Linked DNA regions of Nothobranchius furzeri. The protein of the gene in region 1 binds, or shares a complex with, the protein of each later gene. Links are inferred from orthologs where the notes say so. Each region holds a gene or a part of one and is shown on either strand. Other genes may lie near its edges. The genes, in order: strip2, striatin, strn4, strn3 and stk26.

The links.
Region 2: strip2 (region 1) and striatin share a complex: the UniProt entries of both Homo sapiens proteins name them as parts of the core of STRIPAK complex. The link is inferred for Nothobranchius furzeri from reciprocal best matches to the Homo sapiens genes STRIP2 and STRN.
Region 3: strip2 (region 1) and strn4 share a complex: the UniProt entries of both Homo sapiens proteins name them as parts of the core of STRIPAK complex. The link is inferred for Nothobranchius furzeri from reciprocal best matches to the Homo sapiens genes STRIP2 and STRN4.
Region 4: strip2 (region 1) and strn3 share a complex: the UniProt entries of both Homo sapiens proteins name them as parts of the core of STRIPAK complex. The link is inferred for Nothobranchius furzeri from reciprocal best matches to the Homo sapiens genes STRIP2 and STRN3.
Region 5: strip2 (region 1) and stk26 share a complex: the UniProt entries of both Homo sapiens proteins name them as parts of the core of STRIPAK complex. The link is inferred for Nothobranchius furzeri from reciprocal best matches to the Homo sapiens genes STRIP2 and STK26.

The regions. Positions count from the first base shown.
Region 1 is NC_091741.1:53,353,998-53,358,243, forward strand, and holds part of strip2 (striatin-interacting protein 1 homolog), read right to left. Parts: intron 1,450-4,246; coding exon 1,258-1,449; intron 1-1,257. UniProt on the Homo sapiens protein: Plays a role in the regulation of cell morphology and cytoskeletal organization. Required in the control of cell shape. Calmodulin-binding scaffolding protein which is the center of the striatin-interacting phosphatase and kinase (STRIPAK) complexes.
Region 2 is NC_091752.1:1,718,554-1,723,315, forward strand, and holds the start of striatin, read right to left. Parts: upstream 2,942-4,762; 5' UTR 2,726-2,941; coding exon 2,516-2,725; intron 1-2,515. Other genes in the region: heatr5b (HEAT repeat-containing protein 5B), read right to left, coding at 4,541-4,762. UniProt on the Homo sapiens protein: Calmodulin-binding scaffolding protein which is the center of the striatin-interacting phosphatase and kinase (STRIPAK) complexes.
Region 3 is NC_091753.1:40,954,276-40,958,521, forward strand, and holds part of strn4 (striatin-4), read right to left. Parts: intron 2,493-4,246; coding exon 2,389-2,492; intron 2,199-2,388; coding exon 2,122-2,198; intron 2,024-2,121; coding exon 1,945-2,023; intron 1,863-1,944; coding exon 1,677-1,862; intron 1-1,676. UniProt on the Homo sapiens protein: Calmodulin-binding scaffolding protein which is the center of the striatin-interacting phosphatase and kinase (STRIPAK) complexes.
Region 4 is NC_091758.1:17,988,233-17,992,478, forward strand, and holds part of strn3 (striatin-3), read left to right. Parts: intron 1-2,617; coding exon 2,618-2,756; intron 2,757-2,845; coding exon 2,846-2,981; intron 2,982-3,104; coding exon 3,105-3,244; intron 3,245-3,316; coding exon 3,317-3,495; intron 3,496-3,881; coding exon 3,882-3,929; intron 3,930-4,222; coding exon 4,223-4,246. UniProt on the Homo sapiens protein: Calmodulin-binding scaffolding protein which is the center of the striatin-interacting phosphatase and kinase (STRIPAK) complexes.
Region 5 is NC_091742.1:86,837,635-86,841,880, forward strand, and holds part of stk26 (serine/threonine-protein kinase 26), read left to right. Parts: intron 1-3,259; coding exon 3,260-3,328; intron 3,329-3,406; coding exon 3,407-3,568; intron 3,569-3,745; coding exon 3,746-3,802; intron 3,803-4,246. UniProt on the Homo sapiens protein: Serine/threonine-protein kinase that acts as a mediator of cell growth. Modulates apoptosis. In association with STK24 negatively regulates Golgi reorientation in polarized cell migration upon RHO activation.

The DNA.
Region 1 (4,246 bases):
AAAGAAAGAAAGAAAAAGAGAAAAAAGAAAGAAAGAGAAAGAAAAGAAAGAAAGAAAGCTGGGATTCCCAAAGCGGAGCACCAAGACCATCTGTGGTCACTGAGGGGAATGGATGATGTTAGCTCCAAAAGCCCAAAACTGTGATGAGTTACAGCAGGATTTCTATGTCTGCTGTGTTAGGAGCAAAATGACCTGTTCTGTGTTAATAAAAAGGTAAATAATCAGAAATTAGCTAGTACCCGTTTTTCTTTTTTTTTAATAGAAAACCTAAATGCTTCACAAACAGCTGCAACATCTAATATGCCTAAATGTTATTGACCTTCTCTTAGTAACAAGAAATGTGGTTTTGATCAGCAGCGGTCACTCCTTTAGTGCAATAATCTCCTTCTTTGCATCACGCTGGTTATTAGCTGACTTCACGCTTTGCATCGTTAGATTTCTTCTCTTAGAAAAGCACTCAGCCCTGTTGGCTCAGATTTAAATAACACTGAAAACACGTTCATTTGCTATAAAACAAATATTTATTCTGATCTTGCAGAGGGTTTCTCTTACTGACAGATTTCCTTCTCTAACCCTAACCCTAGACTAAATGTTCACCTTCAAATTTCAATTTAAGTAGCTTTTATTATCAGCATCTGTGATCTGTGGACAATCTCTGGGATAAAGCTTTATGAGGACCTCAGGAGGACACAGCATCGTACAGCTTTGACCTACAAAGAGAACAATGCATGAAACTGTTTACCAGAGTGAAGACAACAAAGTCATTGATTTTTCATGACCTGTCACAGAAAAGCGAGTGTTACATATATTTTTTGTATTTTCTAGTCATTGTTAGAAATAATTAGAAATCCTCTGATGATTACTTGTCGAGATGTATAAGTTTGATTTTCAAACAATTCACATCGCTAATGAAGTGATTTTAGAAAGTTTTTTCATTTAGCCACAAATAAAAATGCGCTTACACCCAAATGTGGTCCTAACTGCTGGTCTGATTGGACTTTCAGTGTTTGGCTTTGTGTTCTTTTTGATCCGTCATCATCCTACTCGTGTTTTATTTGCATGATGAAACACAACAGTAAATCAACGTAGCACCAAGCTTCCCCGTCTGAACGGGCAAAGCTTTCATGTTTATCAGCGCGTCAACGGAAGATTCAGGAGAAAACTGCTCAGGCTCTCATACGTTGTTGTGTATGAGCGGAAATGTTCACAATCAAACCCAACATGTTCTAAATGTGTGTGTGTGTGTGTGTGTTGTACCCTGCGGCTGCGACGGCCTCTCTTCTGCTGCTGCTGCTGCTGCTCGATCAGCTCCATGGCTGAGGCGGGAGGCGAGGCTGCTCTCATGGCTCTGACCACCTTGATACTGTCCTCTGGGAGGGGGGTCAGGCAGAGACGCTCTCGGCCACGCACCTTCATCTCCTGCAGCTCCTCAAACCCCCCCAACGTAAACTAGAACACAAGCATGATCAGAGATTTGAGGAAGAAGAAGCAAGAAAAAGTATGTGAACCCTTTGGGATTAAATACATTTCTGCACAAACTGGTCATAAAATGTGACCTGATCTTCATTTAGGTCACAGCACTAGACAGTCACAGTCTGCTTAAACTAACGCACGAACAGTTATACGTTTCCATGTTTTTATGGAACACACCAAGTACACATTCACAGTGCATGTGGGAGAAGTATGACAACCCTAGACAAATGACATCTCCAAGAGCTAAGTGGTGTCAGGTGTCAGCCAACAGGAGTCCAATCAGTGTGATGAGATTAGAAGTCTTGATTAAAGCTGCCCTGACCAATAAAGAACACACACCTGCTTTTGTCCAGAAGCACTGCCTGATGCCACGCACAAAAGAAGCTCTCAAAAGACCAATGATTAAGAGTTGTTAACTTGCATAAAACTGGAAAGGGTTATAAATGTATCTCCAAAATGCCTTGATGTTCATCAGTCCACCGTAACAGAAATTGTTTATGAGTGGAGAAAGTTCAGCACTGTTGCTACTCTTCCCTGTAGAAGGGGCCGTCCTGACTGCAGAAGTGAGGTGAAGAGGAATCCTAGTGTCAGCTAAAGACTTAGAAAATATCTCTGGCATATGCGAACATCCCTGTTGGCGAATATACTGTAAGTGAGACTCTAAACAAGAACAGAGTTCATGGGAGGACACCACAGAGGAAGCCACTGCTGCACATTTAAAGTTTGCAAAAGAGCACCTGGATCTTCCACAGCAGTACTGGCAAAACATTTTGTGGACAGATGAAACCAAACTTGAGTTGTTTGGGGTGTGTGGAGAAAAAGAGGCACACCACACAAACACCAAAACATTATCACAACTGAAGTATGGTGGTGGGGGCATCATGGTTCGGGGTTGCTTTGCTGCACCAGGACATTTTGCAGGAGAACTTAAGGCTTTTTGTCCACCAGCTGAAGCTCAACAGAAGATGGGACGATGCAACAGGACAATGATCCAAAGACCTCAAGAAATCGATTCATACCAGACATCGCAAGAACTGAAGAAGAAGAAGAAGAAGAAGAAAATATCATTTCTATAGCGCCTCTCAAGATAAAAAATCACGAGGCACTTCACAAAAACAAAACAAAGAAAGTAAAAATATAAAAAAAGCATTTAGAAAATGTTTAAAAATATATTTAAAATGAGCAAAAATAGGCAATTCGTCGTCGTCGTCGTCGTCGTCTTCCTCCGCTTATCCGGGTCCGGGTCGCGGGGGCAGCATCCCAATTAGGGAGCTCCAGGCCGTCCTCTCCCCGGCCTTGTCCACCAGCTCCTCCGGCAGGACCCCAAGGCGTTCCCGGACCAGATTGGAGATGTAACCTCTCCAACGTGTCCTGGGTCGACCCGGGGGCCTTCTGCCGGCAGGACATGCCCGAAACACCTCCCCGGGGAGGCGTCCAGGAGGCATCCTGACCAGATGCCCAAACCACCTCAACTGGCTCCTTTCGATCCGGAGGAGCAGCGGTTCTACTCCGAGTCCCTCCCGAATGTCCGAGCTCCTCACCCTATCTCTAAGGCTGAGCCCGGCCACCCTACGGAGGAAACTCATTTCGGCCGCTTGTATCCGCGATCTCGTTCTTTCGGTCATTACCCAAAGCTCATGCCCATAGGTGAGGATTGGGACGTAGATCGACCGGTAAATCGAGAGCCTGGCTTTCTGGCTCAGCTCCCTCTTCCCCACGACAGATCGGCTCAGCGTCCGCATCACTGCAGACGCCGAACCAATCCACCTGTCGATCTCCCGATCCCTCCTACCCTCACTCGTGAACAAGACCCCGAGATACTTAAACTCCTCCACTTGAGGTAGGACCTCTCCCCCGACCCGGAGGTGGCAAGCCACCCTTTTCCGGTCGAGAACCATGGTCTCAGATTTGGAGGTGCTGATCCTCATCCCAGCCGCTTCACATTCGGCCGCGAACCTACCCAGCAAGAGCTGAAGGTCAGAGCTGGATGAAGCTAGGAGAACCACATCATCCGCAAAAAGCAGAGACGAGATTCTCCTGCCACCAAACTCGACACACTCCACACCACGGCTGCGTCTAGAAATTCTGTCCATAAAAGTGATGAACAGAACCGGTGACAAAGGGCAGCCCTGGCGGAGTCCAACCCTCACTGGGAACAGGTCCGACTTACTACCGGCTATGCGGACCAAACTCACGCTCCTCTGGTAAAGGGACTGAATGGCCCTTAACAGAAAGCCACCCACCCCATACTCCTGGAGCGTCCCCCACAGGGTGCCCCTGGGGACACGGTCATAAGCCTTCTCCAAATCCACAAAGCACATGTGGATTGGTTGGGCAAACTCCCATGCCCCCTCCATCACCCTTGCAAGGGTATAGAGCTGGTCCACAGTTCCACGGCCAGGACGAAAACCACATTGCTCCTCCTCTATCTGAGATTCAACTATCGATCGGACCCTCCTCTCCAGTACCTTGGAGTAGACCTTTCCAGGGAGGCTGAGGAGTGTGATCCCCCTATAGTTGGAACACACCCTCAGGTCACCCTTCTTAAAGATGGGGACCACCACCCCGGTCTGCCACTCCCTAGGAACTGCCCCCGATGACCACGCAATGTTGTAGAGACGTGTCAACCATGACAGCCCTACAACATCCATAGCCTTGAGATACCCAGGACGAACCTCATCCGCCCCCGGGGCTCCGCCGCTGTGTAGTTGTTTGACTACCTCAGCAACTTCTGCCCCCGAGATCGGACAGTCCATCCCCAGGCCTCCCAGCT
Region 2 (4,762 bases), on another chromosome or scaffold:
TCGCTCCAGTGTTCAATGACAAGAATGCTGCACATATCCGAATGAAGTGCAACATTTTAGGGCAGCTAATTCAACATTTTCTCATTAAAGTCAATGAATAATGGCGATTAACATTTATTATCTCAATTCTAATGAAAAAGTAATAATTATGCTAATAAAAAAACATGCAGCACTAATTTCAGCAAACCTGCTAAAACCTAATATGTGTTTTGAGTTTGTTTTAACTATTTCTTTGCTTCTTTTCTGAAAGTATTAATAATTCAATGATAATTAGGGTGATAGTAGTTAAGTGCCCGTCCCCTAACGAGAGGGTTGCTGGTTCAAGCCCCATCTGTCGCAGTGTCTGTGTACTTTGGCAAGGTGCTCAACCTGCCCTGCCTGCTGGTCAGAAGACGTTGTGGTGCCAGTGCTTGGCAGCCTCGCATCGGTCAGGGCACCCTTGGGCAGCTGTGGCAACAATGAAGCTCATCACCACCAGAGAGTGCATGTGTGTGCATTGTATTTCAAAGTGCCTTGGGGGGTTGTAGAACCGTAGAAGGCGCTGTATCACATACAGGCCATTTACCATCATCTGATAACTAAATTCTTCTCTTGTACATTTATTTTCACATCAGCAGTAACACAAAAAATTGGCTTATCAACCAAATTCATTCACGGATGCCAGGTGGTGATGACCCACCAAGAAATGGAACACACCCCAGAAAAGAGGAGTGGCCTCCTAAACAATCTCACAGGCTAGCTAGACAGCATTTTTATTTTTACAAGCACCAGGTGTGTCTTCCTCTCAATGAACACCAGGCACGGCTTTCACCCAACTTATACAAGAATTATTTCAAACAAGAAGACGGACCAAGGCTTTTAAAACGCAGATCTGAAACTGAGTTTAACGCAAAAATCTGAATGTTCCAGCAGGTCAGCGACGTCAAAGTGCTACTTGACATCTTCTATTATGGCGCTCAAGCCTTTCATTATTCATCGAGATCTATTAAGTTTCTTTTAAATGGCTTTTGATCTTTCCTTCCTTGTGTTATTTCACCAGCAGCTTCTCTGGAAAAGTGATATTTATGCAAGAATACCTCAAGGACAGCACAAGGTTACATCCCATAAGGAAGTTTTAGAGTATTAATCATGTCTGCTCTCATTTCGTGCAGCACTGGAAAAGCGAGAACAGAGTCGCTGATGTTCGCTTGATGAAGTGTGCAGAATGATGCCAGTAAAAAAACGATTTTACTACAACTATGGTCAATTTTGTGTCCTGTAAACAAATCATTTTCCTGTTAAACAAAACAATAACTCTAAATGAGCGCGCACACGTATTGCCGCCACAAATAAAACCACCCAGTAAACCAACCACCCTGTGCTGTGCCACAGCCACAGCAGCTTGTTGGCTGATAAGCTCAATTCATGACAGCAGACAGGAAAGGAAGCATGATCTGCTAGGCAGACTGAAAGTGCTGCATGAGGCTGAGTCAAAAGCCTGCCAGACAGATCGTGGTGTATGTCATCAATGTACAAACAATGCCATGACTCCCTCCCTCTGGTCTCTTCTGTTAGCGGAGGTCAGTTTGTCCTGCAGAGTAAAACTGATCCGATTGTGATACCACCTCACGACTGGGTCAAAATAGATGAGAAACATCGTACAAAAGGAATCGAACTACAAATCAATCCATGCATTACAGAGAGCAGTTCATGCTTTTAAAACATTGTGGTATAATCTATTAAAAGATGCAACATGTGTTAACGTTAGAAGTGGACTGGAAACCTAAAACAATAAATAAGATTTATCTCCAAGTTAAATTTACCCTCAAACTGCCACCTGATCCACTCATTCTGACTTATGAATAAAAGCTAAATTGTTTGACCTAATTTTGGGAACCAGATATAATTTCTATACAGTGAGACCCAGCAGAAAAAAGCAAAACAACAAGGGGAAAGGACAGATTAGAGCGCATTTGAATGCCTTTCCTCAGGAGTGACAGTGACAAGGCAGCTAGCTAATAAACAATGCTGACTCCAGACTCTTGGTATGTGATGTCTGTTTAAAGCTGTCTGTCGGCTTACAGGAGATCAGAGCATTAACAGATGCTAATGCCTGTTTACTTTACATGTTTTACATATAAACAGAGTAGAAACCTTAGCAGGGTGCTACACATGTACCAATATATAAAGCCGAGTCCGTTCCGATGCTACATATTTTACGCCAACTACTTTGGTAATACATATAATTGCTATTAATTGTTATTTTCACAAGAAAACCGTGAAAACAAACACTCGCTAAAGCATGTATTACAATAACGGAGTGTGTGAGGTTCATTTAGTGGTTTCCGTGAAAGCAAAGACATCGCTAACAGCCGAGTGAGAGGGGCGCTGTAGCTCCTTTAGCTGCTAATGCTAAAGCTAACGACCAGAACAATCAAACACAGAAAATCAGCGGGATTTCACCACAAACAAGCAGCACAATTCCCAGGTAAAGAAAAGATTGTGGGCGTTAATTAAAATATGAGGCAATTTTCACCTGCAGCTCGGCCCGCTCCACCTCCCATTGTGCCCTTTCAACTTCGAAACGGGCCCATTCGTGCTGCAGGAAGTGCAAGATCCCCGGGATGCTGTACTGCGCTCTAGCCGCCTCCCCAGCGTCGCCATCGGGCAGAGGTCCTTTCCCACCGCCGGCTAAAACAGAGTTATTATTGTTGAAGAACACCCCGGGCCCTGCCTGCTCGTCCATGGCCGGGCTCGGTGGATAGGTCGTTCCGTTGCCTCGATGTACCCGATACCAACAGATGGGTAAAAAATCATAAAAATAAAAAACTATCGACGGCACTCCGTCGCCGCTGCTCAGGGAATGAACTCACTTTCTGACAGCTAGCTGTCATCGACCGACGTCAGAGACGCAGCAACGCCCACATTTAAGAGACGCTCGATTTCTTCACCAGGACCGTCCGGAGCAAACAGTTTCAACTTCACTCAAAACCAAATGTTAGCGCCTGGAAATACTTTAATAAAATCCTACCAAATGGAAAAAATAACAGTAAGGACACTTATTTAAACTCCCTCAAAAAACGAGTGAAATATTACATTTTTATTTACCTGCCAAGGTGAGTTTACAGCTGAGACGGACAGAAGATTGTTAGCAAAAGACACCGAGTTGGGGAATAAAATCATCCTTGAGTGATTATATTAGGCAGCACATACAACAAACGACGTGTTTTCCCCCAAATACTACAATACTTCCATTAGCAGTAGTAAAAATCTCATTGCTGGCTCAATACAAAGCCCAGAAGTAATCTCATTTTGTTTGACAGCTTCTAGGAGGAATGTTAAAACTAAAAGAAAATGCTGAACTCTCAAATAAGCACAAGAACACTCAATGGATCAGTGGAAAGGTCACAAACAATTGTAATTCATAGACACACTGATTGCCAGACTGCTGATGCAAATTCATTGAAAATAAATAAACAGCAAACATCAGCATTCAGAGGGCTTTAAATCAGATCACTTAAAGAGTAAGTCACCCCCAAATCAACTTATTTTTTCTGAAACTATATAAATGCGTGTCTAATCGCGCTGCAGACGTGTAGTCAATAGTTTTGCACTTAAGCATTTTAGTTAAAATTTTAATTTTCAGCCTAAAACTGTCAGCGTTGTGTCGTTGTGAGCCTCTGTGTGTGTGTGTGTGTGTGTGTGTGTGTGTTGTTAGCAGCTCCGCCCTCTCGGTCTGCTAGGCAACAGCATTTGCTCTTTAAAGAGCAAGTCACCCCCTACCAGCGTATTACTCCACTTCCACTTCCTGTTTGAAAAATGCAACAAATGCTGTTGACTAGCAGACCGAGAGGGTGGAGTCGCTAACAAATACACACACAGGCTCAAGACGTTGTGACATCATAAGGTACCAGCTAACATAATTTACCTCTTAGCCAATAGTGGTGCCAGATTTAAATTCAAATGCAGTGCAGTTTTTTACCTGACGACGGCACAACACTGACAGTTTTAGGCGGAATATTTAAATTTGAACCAAGATGCACTAAAGTGCTAAACTATTGAAAACACGTGTCTGCAGCATGATTAGACACTCATACAGTTTATCAGTAAAAAAAAACAGCTGATTTGGGGGTGGCTTGCTGTTTAAGGCAGAATATTTAAATTTTAACTAAGATGCACTAAAGAGCCAATTTATTGACTGCACGTGTCTACAGCATCATTAGACACTTGTTTATATAGTTTATCAGCAAAGAAAAGTTGATTTAGGGTGACTTGCTCTTTAAATAGAAATCAGGTCTGATTGTGATACATTCACCTACTAAAATGTGAGATTTTAAAGCAACCTTTCAAAGATGAACATTCAGTGTTTGTTCATGAAATGTAACTTTTTTACTTCAATGTGAATGGTTATCTATTAAAAGATAGATCAGAAATAGAATAAATAAATACATTAAAAAACTATAGTGAAGGAAAGATATGGCGTGTAGTAAGTACACAGTGGACAGAAAACAAACAATAAAGACCACCAACTATATTTTAAGAGTGTAAAGTACTTTCGTGTTCAAAAGAAGTTTGTCTTGAGTTTAATAGTTGGTGCAGCCTGTACAGTTGGCTGAGCTTGTCTCGCTGCAGCTTTGGCTTTGCTGCTGGCTTGGTTGGCCCGGATAGCAGATTCCAGACGAGTTTTAAGCCCAGGTGCTGCACCAATTACTGTCTTGAAGGCAGCTGGATAGAGAGGCCCGATACGCATCAAGTTCTGGAGGGCAAAATCGTGCAGGCTTTT
Region 3 (4,246 bases), on another chromosome or scaffold:
TTTATTAGATTATGCTCTGATGCTAGCTGGACCCTTTTCTGGGTCTCTCACCATTCTGCTGCTGGATTTCAAGTACATAACTAAATGCCTTGTGAGTCGATCTCTGTGGGAAAATTTTCAGGAAGTGGAAGTGAGGATGTATTGTCCTGTTTCCTGATATTTGGATATCTTGCCTCTGATTGGCCAACTGTAATGTGACTACCACTCGCTCCACTTGATCTGCAACATTGATGGTTTATCTCCACAAATAACACAAGCCTGGAGGAGTTGTGCTGCGTGATGGAGTTGCTAATGGTAAAGGTTAGCTTCTACTCTCTTCTGGGCACTAGACCAACAACAGCATTCCCTGCCACAAGCCAAGATGGGTGAGTTCACGAACGCTAATTTTAAATGTGACTTAGATCTATCAGGCGTTACTAATCCCAATGTTTCCACGTCTATTTTCTTTCAGCATCTAATTTAGTTCCTGTACGTTAAACTGAGAGTTACTGATCATATTTAAAAAACGACAAATAAAAAATCGGTTTCTCAGGGAACTTGCTCTTTAAAATAAATTTATGTTTTATAATTGTAAACTTTGATTAATGAATTTAGAAAACACTTGAACATATTTCTGAATATAATTGGTCACTGTGAGCTTTCCATGCAGGCTGAACATGAAAATAGTCTCCTACTCCTGTCTCCTGCATTAGCTTCCGATAGAAAATAGACGGTGAAACTCTAGGATTAGAAAAACCTGACAGATCTACATCACACGGTCACTTAACAATCATGGACTCACCCATCTTGACTCATGACGGGGGAGGCTGTTGGTTTAACAGCCAGGAAACAGCAGAGGACATCTCAACTAGCAGACGCTAACCATTAGCATTAGCATCTCAAACACACAGCAGAACTTCTCCAGGCTTGTATTATTTGTAGAGATCAACATTGGAGGGCAAACAGTCAGTGGTAGAGTTGCTGTTATCCAATCCAGGGCGAGATGTCCAAATATCAGGAAATAAGACTCCAAATCCTGCCGTCTGAAGCTCAGCTGTGGGTAACTGAGGTCCTAGAAATGGTGCACCAGTATAATTGTTTCTTCAAAGTATGACTTACAAGCCATTCGCTCCTAGCAGAGACCACTGCGAATGTATTATTTAAACGAGTAATCCACCGCTGTAAAATAATTTTTAAGTATTGTCACTATTTTTGACATACTAAAACCACTTCTTTGTCCAATGTCTCAAATCTATGAATCTGATTACATTTAATGTTTCTCTAGTTTTTATAAACCTCTGGATTTTTTTTTTACTTTTTCTGATCTCAGTTTTGAGTTAAAAACCTTGCCTCCGTCTACTGAAGCCTGTTTTGTTGTTATTTTTACTGTGAACTACGCCCAGCAGCATTAGAGGAGAAACTAGACTTGTCAGATTCATCCTGTAACTGTTATTAGCCCTGACACCATCAGTAAATAGGTGACTCAGGTTTATTGGCAGCCAGTTCCATCCCTCCACTTGAACTGGGTTGGACTGGTTAAGTGTTTTGAAAAATTAGCCCTCCTCTCCTTTCTTCCGATTGTTTTTCCCCCAAATAATTTGAGTTTTGTGCAGCAAAATGTGGAAGCTGTTTGTGCCGTCACTGCAGCATGTACGTGAGGCGTAACGTCAAAGATAGCGTCTGTATTTACGCCTCACCTTTTGATTTGCTCCTCTATTTGCCGGACCAGCAAGGACTCTCCAGCTGCTCGTGGCTCTGGCTCCTGACAGCTGTCGCCGGGCGGAGGCCCGTTCGTCTCCGGGCTGCTCCGACCCAGCAGGGAGCGCACACGTTTGGAGCGCATGTCCAAGATGGTATCTGAGTAGCCGACCTCCTCCAGATATCTGCAACCACAGACGGAAAATCAATAATAAAACACAAGCATAATATAGCATCAGTGGATTTGAAATTATCAGGCAAACTCACTTGCGTAGTAACTGACGTCCCTCCTTCCAGGACATCTGATTGGCTGGCTCAGAGTCTGTCTCAGCTGGTCCATTGAGAACTACAGAAAACACGTTCAACAAGCCATGAGTAGGAAAAAAAACACGTTCGGCTCTAAAAGATGCAGCATTCGTAGACAAGAACAAGTGAAAAACATACGCTGCTCTGCCTCCATCTCTGGCTTCTTTTCTCCAGGACTCTGGTCATTTCCTGTCTTCAGTTTCTGGTGCTTTGCCCTGGAGACACAAAACAAATCCCATCGGGAAAATTACCCGACAACAAGCCAATCCAAGGCTTTATTTACTAAACACAGCACCTGGAGAATGTACACAACTGTTAGATGGGGCCAAAACAGCCGACATCAGCTTTGTCCTATACATGTCCTATTTTATCAGAGGCTGCAGGAATAATGTGATGAGAACAAACCTTTCCTGTTTGAGGGCATACTCCAGCATTTTGATCCGCCTCACCAGGTCCTGTTTCATGTTCTCCTGCCCTTTCCGTTCACTCTGTAGGAATGCCACCTGAGCCTGTATGTAACGCACACACACACACACACACACACACACACACACACACACACACACACGGTTATGAATACACTTAATCCTTATTTTAAAAAGGAAATTGTGCAGATCCTACCACATGGGCTCATATAGGCCAACTAAAACCCAATACTTTAGACAACATTTTCATTTTTTATCCCTTTTGTTGCAAACGCCACAAAGAAGTGAAGAGTGACCGTAAAGACTATGTAGGTATTTCTGATTTACTTCTCTACAAATGCCATGATAAAAATATTAGTTCTTCATTTGCCGTTACAAAGGTCAAACAGCTTATTAAAACGTCTAGCTTCACAGATTTCCACTGGGAATGTTCTTTTTTTGGAATCTGATCAGTGGGGATTCAAGTTTGGAAAGCGTCCCACTCATCTCTGCAACCTTTAAATTACTCCACAATTTCCTTTTTGGACTCAAGTCTGGACAGGATTTCTTGACTATATTTAATATAATTTGGATGTTTTATATTTTGATAATGACCTTGGTACATTCAAGTGTTCCTCTGCTTCAAAAGGCCTGATTCAAATGAAAATGAATGGATTGGGTAGCCATTATGGGCAGACCAATATATCGACCAGTCGATATATCGGTCTGATATTTACTGATTTTAATACAACAGCTGATATTTGTCCTTAGTAAAGCTGATTTAAAGTCAGGCACATCTTTGGACAACCCAGTGCTGTTGCAGCATTTAATTTAAATGTATTTTTATGCTCACTAGTAACATGTGCATGATGAATACTCTAAATTACCATTATTAACAATGAGCTGTGCACAACGTTAAGATTTAACAGCTGGTTAAATTCAGAGTTCAAAAAGCACATCGGCTGACCATGCCTCCAACATATCGGCATTGGTATCAGCAATAGAGAAACCGTATCGGTCGACCTGGTTCTGAGATGATTCCTCAAAATAAACATAAATTTAAATGTGACTTTTACACTTAAGGTTCCGGAGTTTTCCCTTTTCAGAAGTTATATATGATTTTTCAGAAATCCGTAAGTGATCGTCTTATCATGTACTGTGATGTAATGTAAGCAATACGTCTTTGTTGATAAGAACGCCCTCTGCCCCGCAGAGCTCCGTGAAATAGGAACCTGAGCGCCGACCAGAACTAACCAATAGCGTACTGCTTACGTGCTTCAAATTTAAGGAAGTACCTCGGCTGATGCAGAGTTGATGAACTTTTCACCAACAAGTGTTTAAGATATATGAAAGCACAACACGATATGAGTATAATACTTGTAATGCGTGTTTTAGCTCTGTTTGTCGGCTACAGAAGCACATTCAGAAACAAGAAACATGAAGTCGCCATCTTAAAAAAATGGATCGAGTGACTATTTGTGTGATATGCTTGTCAGCCACCAGATGGTGCCATCAGATAAGAGAAACACTACCGGAGAGATACTTTAATTGTTAAATAGAGATAAAAACAGTAGCTAAAAAGGATAAAAATATGGTTGACTAGAATTTTTGTTTTATGGCTCATTAGCAACGTTCCCCTGCATTAATCTGGGCCACGGATCTCATCAAATAATATCTGCTGGAACAAAAGCGGAAAAGTCTGGAAACCTGTGACCTAAATGCCTAAATGTTAAACTACTGTCGACCAAATTAACGAGCAAAAAGATTAGTAAAAAAGAAAAAAGATGAAAGTAAAACGAGGCTCTTAGCCAATCACGGCTAAAGGTGCAACACTAGCAAATTCAAACAGACTCTTGTAA
Region 4 (4,246 bases), on another chromosome or scaffold:
GCGTGTGTGTGTGTGTGTTTTCCACATCAAACACTGGTCTAATCAACCAGACCAGCATGTCCAGTAACATATTAATGTTACAATTAAACAGTTTCACTTCATGTAGGCTAGGAACATTTCACCTGCCGTGGCCCGACCGCTTCTGCTCCACATAAACTTTGTGCGTGATCAAATGTCTCTACGCGTCATGCGTCTCCATATTAGACACGGGAACAAGCGCTGTTCAGCCTAAGTTTCATAATTTCATAAAAAGAACATTTTTCCAAGTGACACATCCCTCAGAGAGACCGGGTTTCCAGACCGCTTCAGTGGGAGGAAATCTTACCGCATGCGCCGTGGTTCTGCACTGCGCTGCAAACCCCTCTACAGATCTTCAGCTCACTGTCCACCGTGGGCGCTCCGAGCCGCGCTGAGCACAGTGTCCAGTATAAAGCTCTGATGTTCTGATGGGAATCATTTCTTGATTGATTTAGTTACCTCCGCGATGTGCGTAACGATTAAAATGTCAGCTCATCTGTGTGTGCATCAGTGTGCGTCGGGGTAATTCTTTCAAAACAACCAACATCCTTGAGTTTATCTGTCAAAATAAACAGTCAAATGGAAATATCTGTAACCTGCCATTTTACTGTTTTGCCTTCTTGTGAAGATTGTTGCAAAGAGAAACAACTAAACTTGATTAACCCCAGAGCCATGCACACTGCACTGTACTGACTGTAAAATGAGGGGGAAACGATTTAATTGGATCCTTTTCTCTTCAACATGGTTTAATGTAAAGTTTCATTCAGTACAACCTTTAGTTATACCAATCTAACGAGACAGAGCCTTTATTTGTATTCTGAACAGTTTAAACATGTTTAAAACGGAGACATGCGTGACACGTCTAAAATTCGCACCTGCTCCGCTGTTATGGAAATTAAGCTAACAAGATGAATAACATGAAATTATTTTGGGCACAGACAACATCCCCCACACTTTTGAAAAGCTTGAATGTGCCTGTCTGCCCCCACTGTTGATGGGTTGAATCTAGGGCTGGGAGATGTGGCTTCAAATCAGTATCACAGCATGATGAGCAGTTCACATTAAAAACGATGAATGGACGATAATTACCCGTATGCGCAAATACAAAAGTTGTCCACTAGATGGGGCTGTGGCAACATAATCGCTCCACAGCTGGTTTTATTGATGGTAATATTCCCCCACATCTATTCATAGTATGAATAGATGTGGGGGAATAATCAATATTTACTATGAATTTCATAGTAATTATTAATTAATTGCTACTTAAAAATAATGCGCAACTAAGTACTTAAGTAATTTGAGTTGTCAGGTAGTCAGGTTCTCTATAGAGTGGTTGTACTGAATGTTACGTCCTTTATTGGACAAAGCTGATCTTGTCATCTTGCTAACCAGGCTTAAACAATGGGTAGGGATCTCAGGGATTGCTCTGGAGTGGCAGGGGTCTTATCTAACTAGGATGTTGTATGAAGATTGGTAAAGCTCCATCTTACCTCATCTGAGGAGTGCCGCAAGGTTCCATCCTCAGACCCCTTTTATTTACCCTTTACCTGCTTGACATTTCAGAAGTATAAGCTGAGTTTTCATCTACATGCTGACTGTTGTTAAAGCTATTGCCCCATGAAACTGGGATAAAATGGTGCTTTTAAGATTATCCTGGCATGTCTGGAGGAGGTAAATATTTGGCTGGCTTACAGTTTTCTGAGTTTAATGAAAATAAAACAGAGGCCATTGTCTTGCTGCTGTTTTTACAGATTAAACTAAAGACACAGGAACAGACTGTGTTGCTACTTAGGAACCAAAAGACACAATTTTATATACAAATCTGCATCATCCCTTGAGCTATGTGGCCTTTGAAAGACTTCCAGAAGGTCTGAAGAAATGAAGATGGACCTGTTGCCAATCTAGATGGAGTAATGATGTAGTTTTCTTCTGAGACATGGGTTGGGCCTCCATAGAGGGTCACGAATAACGGGTGGGGACCGGAGAAGATCTCCAGAAATCTAAAACATCAAATCATTATTCCTAAAAGCATATTTGTTTAGAAATCTGAAGTTCCCATAATATTCAGGGTTTTGGTAAAGTTCAACCAGTGGTTTTTGGGCTTTCAGGTTGTGGAATGGTGCAAACACATTGAATAGAATAGGATAGACTATTGATCCCACAGAGGGGAAATTCTCTTGTTACTGCAGTATAAACACTTAAGAGAATACTATGAAGAAAAATAATAACAAAGGTACATGTATACACACATAGGCAGTAAGCTAGTATTGTAACCTTCAACCACTAAAAACCACAAATAAAAATGAAAAACTTGGTTCCAGAACCATGCAGCATACTGTAAGGGATGCAGACATACTAAGTTCATCTGGTTTTGCACAAGTATTGAACACATACTGAGTATTGCATTGATGCTTTTGTGTACCAGGATAATACCAGTACAGCTTAAACTGAGGAGTTCTACACTCTTACTGCAGAGGGGATGAATGACCCACAGAAGCGTTCTGTTTTACATCTGGGATGTCTCAGTCTATCTCTGAAGGAGCTGTCCATGGTCTCCAGAGTGGACGTGTGTGTGAACCACATGTGTGTTTGTGTGCAGAATTCCAACTGACAACTTGGAGACGTTCAACTTCTTGGAGAACACAGAGGACAGTGATGAAGATGATGATGAGGAGGGAGACCTAATGGACGACATCACTACGGACAAACACCATCGAGCTAAAAAACATAAAATAAATGTATGTGAAGAGAAACTGTGACTTAGCACCATTTCCCTCCTGTACTCCATTCTCCTGGAACTTTTTTTTCTGCTCTCATGGTCGACCAGGTAGGAAACGAGGGCTTAGCAACAGAGGATGACGCAGACACGGAGGAAGCTTTGAAGGAGTTTGATTTCTTGGTGACGGCAGAGGATGGAGAGGGGGCGGGGGAAGCCCGCAGCTCTGGTGATGGGACAGAGTGGGGTGAGATAGTCATCACACGTTAGCCAGCCAATGATCAAATGCAGAAATAAAACATGACGCATGTCTGAATGTTGGTGTCTGGACGTTTTGGACACAAGTGAATTTATCTGAGTCTCTCTGCAGCAGAGCCTCTACCCTTTTCCACTGCTGGGGGAAAGTCCTTCTTACTGGGGGGGTCTGATGATGTTCTGGAAAGCGTGCTGGGTTTGGGGGACCTTGCTGACCTCACCGTCGCCAACGATGAGGTGGACTTTGGCTACGATGTGAGGAAATGAAACTCAGTGGAACTCTGTCTGAATTCCTGATAAATGAGCTCACTCTGGTTTTGTCCTCAGCTCTCCTCCAGTAAAGAGTCTTCCTTCAGGAAGACCTGGAACCCCAAGTACACGTTACGGAGCCACTTTGATGGGGTCCGAGGGTTGGCGTTCCACCCTGTGGAGCCCTGCCTGGTCACAGTGTCTGAAGACCACACGCTCAAACTGTGGAACCTCACCAAGACCGTCCCAGCCAAAAAGTATGTGTTCTGATTTCTGGGCCCTCACTGGGTACAGGAGCTGCATCAGCTCAGGGTGTTGGTGGCTTTTAGTCGTTCCTGTGATCTTCTCTCACCTACACGACGTCGTCAGACACAGGTCCTCTGAGCTCACCAGGGACACTTCAGCTTTCTTTTACTCAGAAAAAAACTACAAATGAAAAACACAATGAGACACTAGGAACCAGGTGAGAACATTCAGACTGCTGATTCGTTAGATATTCCAGGGGCGTGGCTTCCAGACATATATACAGTTAGCAGGTTGTGTGTTATGATCAGATAAGGAGTTTGTAAAATGCTCGGAAGCTTTCAGGATTGATGTTTATTTAGAACACCAATAACAGGTGTGATGACATTCTGTGTTCCAGAAGTGCCTCGTTCGACGTGGAACCGGTCTACACCTTCAGGGGTCACATGTATGTATCAGAACCAATGTGGAACATTAACATGTCACGTCTCCTTTTAACACATCAGATTCCAACTGTAGACATGTTTTATTAACCACATTTAGTTGTTTTAGAGATCATTTTTCAGATTCCCCCCCCCCGAGGGGGCCGGGCACCCCTAGCTCCCCCATAATTTAAGTCCTGTTTGTAACCAACTCTGTAGCTACTATTATCAAAATAAAGAGTATAAAGTAAAGATATAATTAGCCCAAGTTAGAGATAAATCTGAAGGCTTGTTATAGTTTTGTGACGTGTCTTTTTAGTGGTCCGGTGCTGTCGTTGGCGAT
Region 5 (4,246 bases), on another chromosome or scaffold:
CAATATATGATGAACTATGCCAGAATCCTAAAAAATATCTCAAATTTCCAAACTCTGTCTGGCTCAGTGAAGTTACGTTTTTGTATTATGTATTTATAATTAGTGTAAAATGTTTATTCTATCTCGAGGTGGCTCATATCCTGTCATCCACAATATTATCAGTAATTATATCCATAGACATTCCCTGACTGTGTGGGGGTGGGGTTTGGCCAGTCTTTCTACACAAGCAGGATAAACAAAACTAAAACACGAACGAACGTCCCCAAATAATAAAATCCACGAAGCCAAATGCAAAGTTTAGAGTAGAACATTTACTGCGAGGTTTCCTGATTGAGCAGTCATGTGAGAATACATGTAATGACTGCTTAAAGACTACGCAAGCTAGTAGCTAGTGCTAGCAGCTATCCGCTATAAGTGAGTATGGTTGCTTTGGCAAAGATTCATAATCGTTTATGTCCGCATCTTCATGCATCGATTATTTCATTATTTTCCTCAGCTTCACTGAGCACCCCCAGCTAAACAAAACAGCACACTGCCTACAACTTGTTCTGATTGGTTCATTGATGTGTCTGTCATGCCGACAGCTGTGGCAAAAGAAAACAATCTTTTATACAGAGCATCTCAAGATGATGGTCATTAGGCACTTCCCAAATGTATACAAATGTACACAAAATATTTCTAAATATTATTAAAAATATGTTAACAATGAGAAAATTTTTCAATTGTGATTAAAAAATATGTAAGGAAAAGGAGAGAGAAAATTCATAGGAAAGAGGGAAATAGGTGGATCCCAGAAAAGGCGGAATAAGAGCAGAATAGAGAGTGGTGATGAAGGTCACAAAAGCCATCCGGAACAAGTGAGTCTTCAGCTGCTTTTTAAAGGAGACCACTGAGTCCACTGATCTCAGGCTCAGGAAGAGAGAGTTCCAGAGTCTGGGGGCTACAGCAACAAATGATCTGTCACCTTTGGTCTTTAGCCTGGTGCTGCCTAACCAGTAGGCTTTGATCACTGGACCTCAGGGACCTGCTGGGGGTGTAGGGACTAAGAAGATCGCCAATGTAAGATGGTGCTTGTCCATGTAAGGCCCTATAGACCAGAACCAGGATCTTGAAATGAACCCTGAAGTTGACCGGCAGCCAGTGAAGCTGGAGGAGAAGTGGGGTGATGTGGGTGTGTTTGGAGGACTTGGTCAGAAGCCGAGCACAGGCATTCTGAACCACCTGCAGACGGTTCAGGGAGGTTCTGCTCAGACACGTGAAAAGAGAGTTACAGTAGTCTAAGCGTGAGGAGATGAAGGTGTGGAGAACTGTCTCAAGTTCAGAGCGGGACAGAATGGGACTCAGCTTAGCAACGTTCCTGAGATGGAAGAAGGAAGAGCGAACAAGAGAACTGACATGAGAATCCAGGATGAGAGCTGGGTCAAAGGTCACACCAAGATTCCTGACAGAGGGTTTGGTGTGAGAAGCAAGCTGAGCAAGAGAGTCTCTGACTTTGGGAACCAGCAACCATTGGTTGAAAAAATGTGAACCTTAATGGACTGCTTATATCAGAGATTTTTGATGCAGTCCGATATAATCCGATACACTGTTTTTGGGCCAATATCAAATTACTTTCGACATCGATATCGGAACGGGACATCCCTAACTTAAATTTGGTGCCCTAAAGAGAAGGAAGCCCCTCTAGGATCGCTGATCAACATGCAGAGCTGAAGCACAGCAGAGAGGGAGGAGGAAGAGCAAATTTAAAATAAATAAATAAATATAACATTTGTGACTTAGACAGAATAACGACATATAAAATACATAATAATTATTTTTGGGCTGCTCAATTAATCGAATTTTAATCCCAATTACCATCTGAGTTTTGAACGATTATAAAAACAAAACAAGCCGATTATTTGCTCCTCCCACTTGCGCTGCCCGAGTTGCAAATGAAGCGCTCCTCCCACAGCTGTGGTTGGGACAATTATTACATTAACTGACGGATCTGTAAATAAATAGTTCATGAATAAGGTATAAATAAGTTCCTCACGCTGATAAATAATAACTAACCTCTCTGAGGACACGGTGCTAGTGCACTCTCCTACAGCACCTTGACACGACTCATTAAATGTTATGCAACATTTTGTGAACATCACTTTATTTGCATGTATTTGTTATAAATGCCACTGCATAATTCTTGCTGTCAGTATTTGCAAGATATTGGTATTTGGGTCTGTACTGGTTAGACTTAAATGAGTTAAACCAAGCAGTGGCGTGTCCAGATCTTTTAGAATGGGGTGGCCCAGGTGAGGCACAACTTTGTGCATGGGTGGCACCAATGGTTATGCTTTTCTTTTTGTTTTACCCCCAAGCCTTTTGTGGACAATGAAAAGCCTATTTAAAGTTAAATTAGTGTGGTGGTACCTGGGGTGGCCAATCAGATTCCAAGGGTGGCATGTGCTACCCCAGACCACTCCCTGGACACACCCCTGAAACCAAGGTCTATAGCCCTTGGGTCATAAACTATGAGCTATAAGTGTATTGGTCTTTTTTATACTGGGAATCGGGTTATTTTAATTCAATTCAATTCAAGTTTATTTATATAGCGCCAAATCACGACAAGAGTCGTCTCAAGGCACTTCACATAATAAACATTCCAATTCACAGTTCATTAAACCAATCAGAAATAATGTTTCCTATATAAGGAACCCAGCAAATTGCATCAAGTCACTGACTAGTGTCAGTGACTATACAGCAATCCTCATACTAAGCAAGCATAAAGCGACAGTGGAGAGGAAAACTCCCTTTTAACAGGAAGAAACCTCCAGAGAATCCTGGCTCAGTATAAGCAGCCATCCTCCACGACTCACTGGGGATTGAGAAGACGAAGCAGGCCCGCACGCACGCACGCACGCACGCACGCACACACACACACACACACACACTAGTAATGTGTCTATAGGTATATTGTGATGTCTTTTAGTGATCATCTTGTTTCTTATTTATTTTTGTCCTGATTGTGCCCTGAGCAATTTTATGACGGAATAAAAACAAATAAAATCAACATAAATTGAAAAATCGTCCTAAATAATCGAGATCTCAATTTCAGTCACCATAATCGTGATTATTATTTTTGCCATAATCGAGCAGCCCTACTTATGATGCTAATAACTGTCCTGAAGGCATTTCTCTAAAAACTAATTTAGTGTTATATCACAATAATTTTCCATCAAAGGAAACACTTTTAAGACAACATGTTTCCGTTTCCTCTCCTCAGAGTTCTCACGTGGATCCAGAGGAGCTGTTCACCAAACTGGATCGAATTGGAAAAGGGTCTTTTGGAGAAGTGGGTCCATTTTCATCTTTGTTTTGTCTCAGACATTCCATTCCTTCCTGATCCTAACTTTTTATCTACCTCCAACAGGTGTTCAAAGGCATCGATAATCGCTCTCAGAGTGTTGTCGCCATCAAGACGATCGACCTGGAGGAGGCGGAAGATGAGATCGAGGACATCCAGCAGGAGATCACCGTGCTCAGTCAGTGTGACAGCCCATACATCACCAAATACTTTGGCTCCTACCTGAAGGTGAGAAAAGACATAGTTCAGGCTGATCCGAGTCTCGTCGGTGACGAAGGTGTGTGTGAAACAGTTAACAGAGAGCAGCCGTAGTTAGTGTCTGCTGCTGGTTTCCAGCATCTGCTTATCGTTTTCCTTTTGCTGCATTTGCTGTAACTTATTAACACAAATGGTTTTCTTGTTCAGGGCAGTAAACTATGGATCATCATGGAGTATCTGGGTGGTGGTTCAGCGCTGGATTTGGTGAGCGAGCTGGATTTATCTATTCAGTCTGTCTGCAGACAGTTTTTAACACTAAAACAACCTTCAGGTTGAGTTTTATGCTAAGTAGCTGCAGTTTAGTAAAAAAAAATTAAATGTCCTCACACTTAATCTTGTATCATCTAAAATATCTGAGACACGATGTTCTCTGATGACAAACCTGAGCTTTTATGTTGCATTTTATCAGCCAGTAAAGTCCAGCAATGGTGCTACAATGTCTTGCCCCGTTAGGTTGGTTTATGCTTGACGCGTCCGCGAGGTCCGCACCGCTCCGCGCGGAAAAGTTGCGTCATTTTGCGTCATCTTAACAACCACGCCCCTCCACCGCGCCTCCGCACGGCCCAGAATTTCCGCAATGCGCACGTCGGAAAATTTCTAACCACGCGGACAGACGGACGCGGAAAAACATGGCGGACCGGCAAGAAC